Linked DNA regions of Macaca fascicularis. Each later gene encodes a partner of the first gene's protein in a complex. Links are inferred from orthologs where the notes say so. Each region holds a gene or a part of one and is shown on either strand. Other genes may lie near its edges.

Evidence for each region. The genes of interacting proteins can lie anywhere in the genome.
Region 2: the proteins of PRIM2 (region 1) and PRIM1 are in contact, whole or in part, in a crystal structure (PDB 5EXR), measured with the Homo sapiens proteins. The link is inferred for Macaca fascicularis from reciprocal best matches to the Homo sapiens genes PRIM2 and PRIM1. Residues at the interface, in NP_000938.2 of Homo sapiens: Glu165, Ala168, Ser169, Pro171, Ser172, Phe188, Ala189, Leu192, Phe195, Arg196, Gly197, Arg198, Val200, Tyr201, Leu202, Glu203, Asp204, Gly205, Phe206; in NP_000937.1 of Homo sapiens: Lys147, Glu148, Asp149, Phe150, Gly151, Phe152, Ala180, Val181, Gly184, Ile185, Glu187, Tyr188, Ser190, Leu191, Lys193, Lys207, Ile208, His209, Pro210, Ile212, Arg213.

What each region holds. Positions count from the first base shown.
Region 1 is NC_088378.1:114,362,252-114,365,813, forward strand, and holds part of PRIM2 (DNA primase large subunit), read right to left. Parts: intron 2,655-3,562; coding exon 2,559-2,654; intron 545-2,558; coding exon 407-544; intron 1-406. UniProt on the Homo sapiens protein: Regulatory subunit of the DNA primase complex and component of the DNA polymerase alpha complex (also known as the alpha DNA polymerase-primase complex) which play an essential role in the initiation of DNA synthesis.
Region 2 is NC_088385.1:63,560,899-63,564,917, reverse strand, and holds the start of PRIM1 (DNA primase small subunit), read left to right. Parts: upstream 1-1,181; 5' UTR 1,182-1,258; coding exon 1,259-1,361; intron 1,362-1,610; exon of another isoform or gene 1,611-1,739; intron 1,740-2,349; coding exon 2,350-2,507; intron 2,508-4,019. UniProt on the Homo sapiens protein: Catalytic subunit of the DNA primase complex and component of the DNA polymerase alpha complex (also known as the alpha DNA polymerase-primase complex - primosome/replisome) which play an essential role in the initiation of DNA synthesis.

The sequences.
Region 1 (3,562 bases):
ATTTTCTTCTATACTGTCTTCTACTGATACCAAATACTAATTCAGAACAGAAATCTAGGAGTTATATCTAGCACAGGCCACATTAATTGTTAAGAGCCATATATGAAGTCTATTTCAAAGGAAAAAAGACATGACCATGAAGAAACTCACAGAGGTTACTGACAAAATTAATCACTCAGCATTGGTATTAGTAGGATCAAGAAAAAAAACTTAAAAACCAACTATGAGTAGTAACAAATAAAAACCTAGGAGTTTTGGGATTAATAGTACAATATCATAAGTAACCTGAATATCATTATGAAAACTGAATTAACTTATTTCCTAGAGAAACACAGAACAAAACTACCAAGGGTATATAACTGAAAGTGTGAACATGTCAAATATGGAAATAAAGTAAAATACTTACTGCCAAAGCCTTGGACAGTTTGGCTCTAAATTCATTCAGGATGATTGCCACAATGTCCTTAAGTGGTACGTAAGCAAAGCCATCTTCCAAATAGACTTTCCTTCCTCGAAACAAATCCAGAGCATCAGCAAAAGGGATCTGAATTAAGAGTGAAACAAGGAAAATAAGTCAGCACCTGTCATTAAGAAATCCTCCTAAGTCTTCATATGTATAAAGTATAAACAAAGAAATTCATTAGTCCTAGCAGAGCCAAAAGAATAACAAAATGATTAATTTATCCTCCTTAAAACTCAACAGCACTAGCAAAGAGTGGCAGTACAAAAATATGTTCGTTTCAGAGTTATGTTTTGAAAAATAGTAACACTAAAAGGCCAAGTTGGAATACTTTCTTTTATTCCTTAACCTCTGAATTTACAAAACATAATCCCCAAGACTTCTACACATGTTGCATTCACCTCACATATCCCACACCGTATTCTGCATCAGAGAGAATCCTAATTTGTAAACAACATATTCAGTGCTGAAAATTACTTGTAAGTAAAGTAATTCCAGTTTCTTCATCTACGTTTCCATTCGCACTCCAGAGAAATATATTGAGAAAGCTAATCTCAATACTAAGAAATGGAAATAATAATAAGCATTCGGTTTTGCTATTAAAATAAGCATTTGCCCCAAGTATTTATTTTTTAAAATCTTAGATTTTTAAACCCCATGAACAATCCTAAAATTCTGAAATGAGCAAAGTATGATATTAGTAAACTGTAAAAATCATTCTTACTCTCCAATAGTTTTTCTTTTTTAAAAAAACGAGGTTTAAAAAGTAGGTGAAAAATGACTCCCAAATTGCCTATTCATTCAAGTTTTAAGGAAGAATTAAATATAAATGCATACAATTTTCTGTATATCCAACGACATCGCACACTATAAACAGATCATGTGTTTTTTAACAACTTTCAATTAATTTACCGATTTCTACAACTACAACACAGTCCCTGCCCTCATGGGCACACATGGAAAGTCAAACAGCCCTACAGGATAGAACTGTGTGATACTGCACCAAATAGGTAGCTTAGATAGGACATATTAGAGGAGCAGGTAAGAGGGTTTACTGCAATAATATAGAGAAGAAACATGAGTTCTAGTCCAAGCTCTGATACTGACTAGACTTATTTGGTGAATTTAATGAATGCCTCTAAATCTCGGCAGCCAGATCTGTAAAACTGAGAGAGGGGAGGAAGAGATAGGCTAACTGACCCTTAGGGATTCTTTAGCCATAATATTCCATGATTCTAGCTTATTAAGGTGGTCACAGAGGAAATAAAAATGCCCAAGTAGAAGCAAAAGATGACGTGAAGGCAGAGTAACTGGAAATGTGTGGTGTAAGAGAAATAAATATTGATCCCCACACTCTAAGCTTAAAAGGCTGACTGAATGATGGCCCAACAGTCGAAACAAAGAAGCTGGAATGGGGCAGGATTTTAAACTACTGGCACTCACTCATAATAATTAGCACATTCTTTTCAAAGGAAATTGTGGGGTTACAGTTATCAAATTGTAAAATGAATTTAAACTCATCCCTCTTCCCCTTCTGGAAGGGTTCATGTGAAGTAGTTACCACACTGAGTGGGGAGGGGAAACTGGGGTGGCCCAGCACTGGATGATGGAATCTGAGTAGGTTAAGGAGGGCATTCCCATAGGAAAAAAGTAGGCTTACAATGCCAGAGCCCAGTGGAATGCCAGAGACCATGAGGCAAGACACCACAATGTCAGAGGCCAAGAGAAGCGAAAGGGGCTTCCACGCAAGGCAGCAATCCAAACAGAGTGTTGGGCCAAATGGGTGATGAGGGTTTCCTGGCAGGGGACAGCCCAGTGCAGGGTGTAAGGACCCAAACAATGTGAGAAGGGTTTCCTTTAGGAAAACAGCCTGTAGGGGGAAGTCAGAGCCCAAGCAGGGTTGGGAATGCGTCTGTGGAAGGAGACAGCCCAGCAGAGAACACTGGCACACCATTAGTGCAATGAGGACAGTATCTGTGCAAGAGACGCAATAGCTGTGGTGATGAGAGGCTATAAAAATGGATTAATTAAATATGTATATAAAGCTTAATGTGACATATTTAACAAAACCTAGGAAGTATTTTACATGTTTACATACCTTATAAATGGACTCCAACACCACCTTAGATCCACTCGAATTTGGTGATGAGGCAATAATCTCCTGTTCTCGAAGAGTCTTCTCTTCATCACTTATCTAAAAAAAACATTTTAAGCTGTTATAAAAATTTGAAGTCCTCATTCAGTTTCAATAAAATGATTTCCTGTATTAATGAATACTGTTTACTTTTATTAAAAATTTTAAAACCTTGATATCTCAAATCATTTCTAACATGATATCTGAATCATTATCATTAGTGAAGGCAAAATACAGAAAAAAAATCTAAATTGAATATTCTTTCAAATTTTAACCTTGCCAGTTTCTGAAGGTATACATCAAAAGAACAGTAGCAGACAAAGAGAAAATATTTTAATGAGAAAAAGGAAAAAATTTATAATAAAACTCAGGTTAATATAGACTAAAAGTGAGCATTATCCTAATTTGAGTTATGTTAACTTATTAATCTATCCTAATTGAGGTTAGAGTGGTTTGACTATTTCTTAATTTTCTAGCCACATAAGACAATTCCAAACTTAAAACACTAGTTTTCCTAGGAAAAACTACAAATTTATTATCTCAGACTGATTATGGCCCTATAAAAAATTGATAGATCTGATAAGTAAAAGTGTTAAACTTCAAGACCAATATATATATATATTTTTGTAAATGAAGATGAAATATCAGTGACAAACTGAAGGAAATATTTACATCATCTGATATGTGAGTTAGCCTCGGTAAGCCCCTAGTTGGCAGTATGTAAGCTTTTGTAACCCAAAAGTAGTAAAACATGAACGCCAATAGTTATGTAAGTAAAAATAATAAATGCTAAATTAAAATAATAATGTGTAATATGTTCCATCTATGAAAATAGTAAAAATTAACAAGATTTAGAATATACAGTGTTAGGACAATCTTTGTGTACCATACTATGATAATATATAGCAAATAGCCTTTAAAAATGCAGATTGTAACTATTTTATTTCCAAATTAATCACAAATAAATA
Region 2 (4,019 bases), on another chromosome or scaffold:
CAGCTTCTAACATAGGTCCAACCAAAGAAAGCCAAACATCCACCCCTAAACCAATCACATTCCGCATCCTACTACTCGTTAGCCCAGGTACAGCTTCTCCATGCCAACACCCTCCAATCAAAGAACACCTTGACGGCTTCCCTTTTTCATAAAGCTTTCCTACTCCTCTGCCTGCCTTTGAGTCCCTACCAAATGCAAGTGATGATGGCTGACTCCCTTGCTATAGTAAGCTCTGAATAAATAGCCTATGCTTTTCTCATTTGGTTGATATTTGCTTATTTCCACATATTGGATCTAGTAATTCACGAAATTCCATGCAGAACTAATTTCCAAAACTTTTTTTTTTAGACACGGTCTCCCTCTGTTGCCCAGACTGGAGTGCAGCGGCACTATCACGGCTCCCAACAGCCTTGACCTCCCAGGCTCATGCGATTGATCGCGCCCCGCCCCGCCCCGCCCCGCCCCGCCCCCCCGCCGCTCCCAGCCCGCCTGCCCCGCCCCAGCCTCTGGGGCTGCTGGGACTACAGGCGCACGCAACTACATCTGGCTAGGGGGGGTGTGTGTGTGTTTGTTTGTGTACAGACAGATCTCACAAAGTTGCCCCGAACTACATCTGGCTAGGGGTGTGTGTGTGTGTGTGTGTGTGTGTGTGTGTGTGTGTGTGTGTGTTTGTGTAGAGACAGATCTCACAAAGTTGCCCCGAACTACATCTGGCTAGGGGTGTGTGTGTGTGTGTGTGTGTGTGTGTGTTTGTGTAGAGACAGATCTCACAAAGTTGCCCCGAACTCCTAGCCTCAAGCGATCCTCCTGCCTTTGCCTCCCAAAGTGCTGAGGTTACAGGCATGAGTCACCGCGCCGGCCTCCAAACGTTTTTAAAAGATACTGGTGCTATTTCTAAAACATCCAAAAAGTTCGCGTGGAACATCCTTTTTACTTCACCTTAATAACCTAAATCAGCATGCTATAGGTCTCGCATTTCCGAAGATCTTCTTCCTGGAATGGACACGACCTTCTGCCCACAAGAGCGATGGCCCTGGTGCCCGAGCGCGTGTGCAGAGCGTCAACTGCTGCGTCTCCCGCAGTCCCCGCCCGCACCAAGTGGAAACTACAATTCCCGGCGGCCCCGGCAGACGGCGGGCCGCAACCCGGGCTGGCAGCTGGCCTCCGCCCTAGGCGCCTGCGCAGTAGCGGAGCCGCACGGCCGCGATGTTCCCGCCAATTCCTGTGGTAGTCCTGACTGTGTCGAGTTCAGCGCTCAATGGAGACGTTTGACCCCACCGAGCTGCCCGAGCTGCTTAAACTTTATTACCGGAGGCTCTTTCCCTACTCTCAGTACTATCGCTGGCTCAACTACGGCGGAGGTGACGGAGGCGAGGAATGGGGTCGGGAGCGGAGTGTGAGGAGGTTTGAGGCGGGGTGTCCTTAGAATGACAATATGAAGCGCCTTCTGTGCGCCAGGCTTTGTGCCGCGCGCCTTCATTTGCTCTCTGGAGCCCGCCCCACCACTTCCTAGGTGTAAATGGGCTGAAAGAGGATATAATAGCCAGCCTGCGGCCACACGGTAAAAAAAAAAAAAAAAAAAAAAAAAAAAACAGAGCCACCGCTCCTACCTCTGCGTGGTCAAGCTCACATTAGGTGCCCCGTTTACCTGCCGCGGTGCCCAGGGGGTTACTGGGGTGTAGCGTGAAGCTGCAGAGACATAGTTTGCATCAGGAGCGGAAGAGCCTCCTGCAGAAGAGAAATACTTTCTTCCTTGCAGCTGAATTTATTAGTGCGAATCGAGGAGGGAGGGGTGGCGTTACATATTTAAAATAGTTATGCATCTGTTTCGTCTTTTGTACCTTTTCCTAGCAAATATGGAATGGTAACTGCTTTCAAATTAGAGACTAGTTCTTGGGGATTTTGTTTTGTTTTTTTTTTTACATCTACCATGGTGTTGAGCATAGGGGGCTCATTAAAAACATCTTCTCGGGCCGAGTGCCGCGGCTCACGCCTGTAATCCAGCACTTTGGAAAGCCGAGGAGGACGGATTACCTGAGGTCAGGAGTTCGAGACCAACCTGGCCAACATGGTGAAACCCGGTCTCTACAAAAATTATCTGGGCGTGGTGGCTCGCGTGCCTGTAGTCCTAGCTACAGCCTCCAGAGGCTGAGGTGGTAGGATCCCTTGAACCCGGGAGGCGGAGGTTGCAGTGAGCCTATATCGAGCCCCTGCACTTCAGTCTGGGCGATAGTGCAGGAAGCGAGATACCCTTTCCGAAAAAAAAAAAACTTCTCATTGGCTAAAGTTATAATGTCTTGAGCCAAATACAGTAGCAAATTAACTTTAAAATGTACATTTATTTTGCAGTGATAAAGAATTACTTTCAACACCGTGAATTTTCATTCACATTGAAAGATGATATTTATATTCGCTACCAATCCTTCAACAACCAGAGTGATCTGGAAAAGGAGATGCAGAAAATGAATCCATACAAGATTGATATAGGCGCAGTATATTCCCACAGAGTAAGAAATCTTTTTTTGATGTATTTTGTTGTTGTATTTTCTATACCAAGAATGGGTTGATTCCGCTTGCGTTTTGAGATTAAAGTTTTAGAGTTTATTCTAGATGAAAAGCCACTTTTTAATTGTTTGGCAAGTGATTAATCCTTTTTTGTTCTTTGACATTCTACATTACTGATGAAATCATTTGGGAGTGAATTGGTTGCATTCTTACTAGGACAAAAAAATTGAGTAACTGGCTACTAGGAAGAGGAAGTCGACATGATTTAAGAAAGGGAAATAGGCCGGGCGCGGTGGCTCAAGCCTCTAATCCCAGCACTTTGGGAGGCCGAGATGGGCGGATCACAAGGTCAGGAGATCGAGACCATGCTGGCTAACACGGTGAAACCCTGTCTCTACTAAAAAAATACAAAAAATTAGCCGGGCGAGGTGGCGGGCGCCTGTAGTCCCAGCTACTCGGGAGGCTGAGGCAGGAGAATGGCGTGAACCCGGGAGGCGGAGCTTGCAGTGAGCTGAGATCCGGCCACTGCACTCCAGCCTGGGCGACACAGCGAGACTCCGTCTCAAAAAAAAAAAAAAAAAAGAAAGGGAAATAATTAGCCAGGCGTGGTGGTACGCGCCTGTAATCCCAGCAACTCAGGAGGCTGAGGCAGGAGAATCGCTTGAACCCGGGAAGCAGAGGTCGCAGTGAGCCGAGATCGCGCCATTGCACTCCAGTCTGGGGGACAGAGCGAGACTTGGCATCAACGAAAAAAAAAAAGAGGGAAATAAAAGAGAATTACATTCTCTCCCACCTTGGAAGTTACTCCCTTTTTTTTTTTTTTTTTCTTTTTTTTTTGATACTGAGCCTCGCTCTGTCACCCAAGCTGAAGTGCAGTGGCACAATCTCTGCTCACTGCAAGCTCCGCCTCCCAGGTTCACGCCATTCTCCTGCCTCAGCCTCCCGAGTAGCTGAGACTACAGGCGCCCGCCACCACACCCGGCCAATTTTTTCTATTTTTTAGTAGAGACTGGGTTTAACCGTGTTAGCCAGGATGGTCTCGATCTCCTGACCTCATGATCCACCCATCTCGGCCTGCCAAAGTACTGGGATTACAGGCGTGAGCCACCACACCCGGCCTCTTTTTTTCTTTTAATTGTTTATTTTTATTGAGGTAAAATATACATATAAAATTATTATCTTTACCACGTTTAAGTGTACAGTTCAGTCATAATAAATATTTGTATTATTTTTCTTTCATACCCCTGGAGTTATTCTTGATTCCTCTCTTTCTCACACTCCCATACCCATTCTATTAGGAAATCCCTTTGGCTCTACCATAAGTATATCTAAAATCCAGCCACTACTACCAGTGCTACCAACATTATCATCTCATCTGAATTACTGTAAAAACCTCCTAACAGTTTGCCCTTGTAGAATCTAGAGTCCATTCTCAATACGGAACCTAGAGTGATCCTTTTAAAACAACTCAGAATCTGTGATTCCTCTGCTCAAAACATTATCTGGTGGCTGCT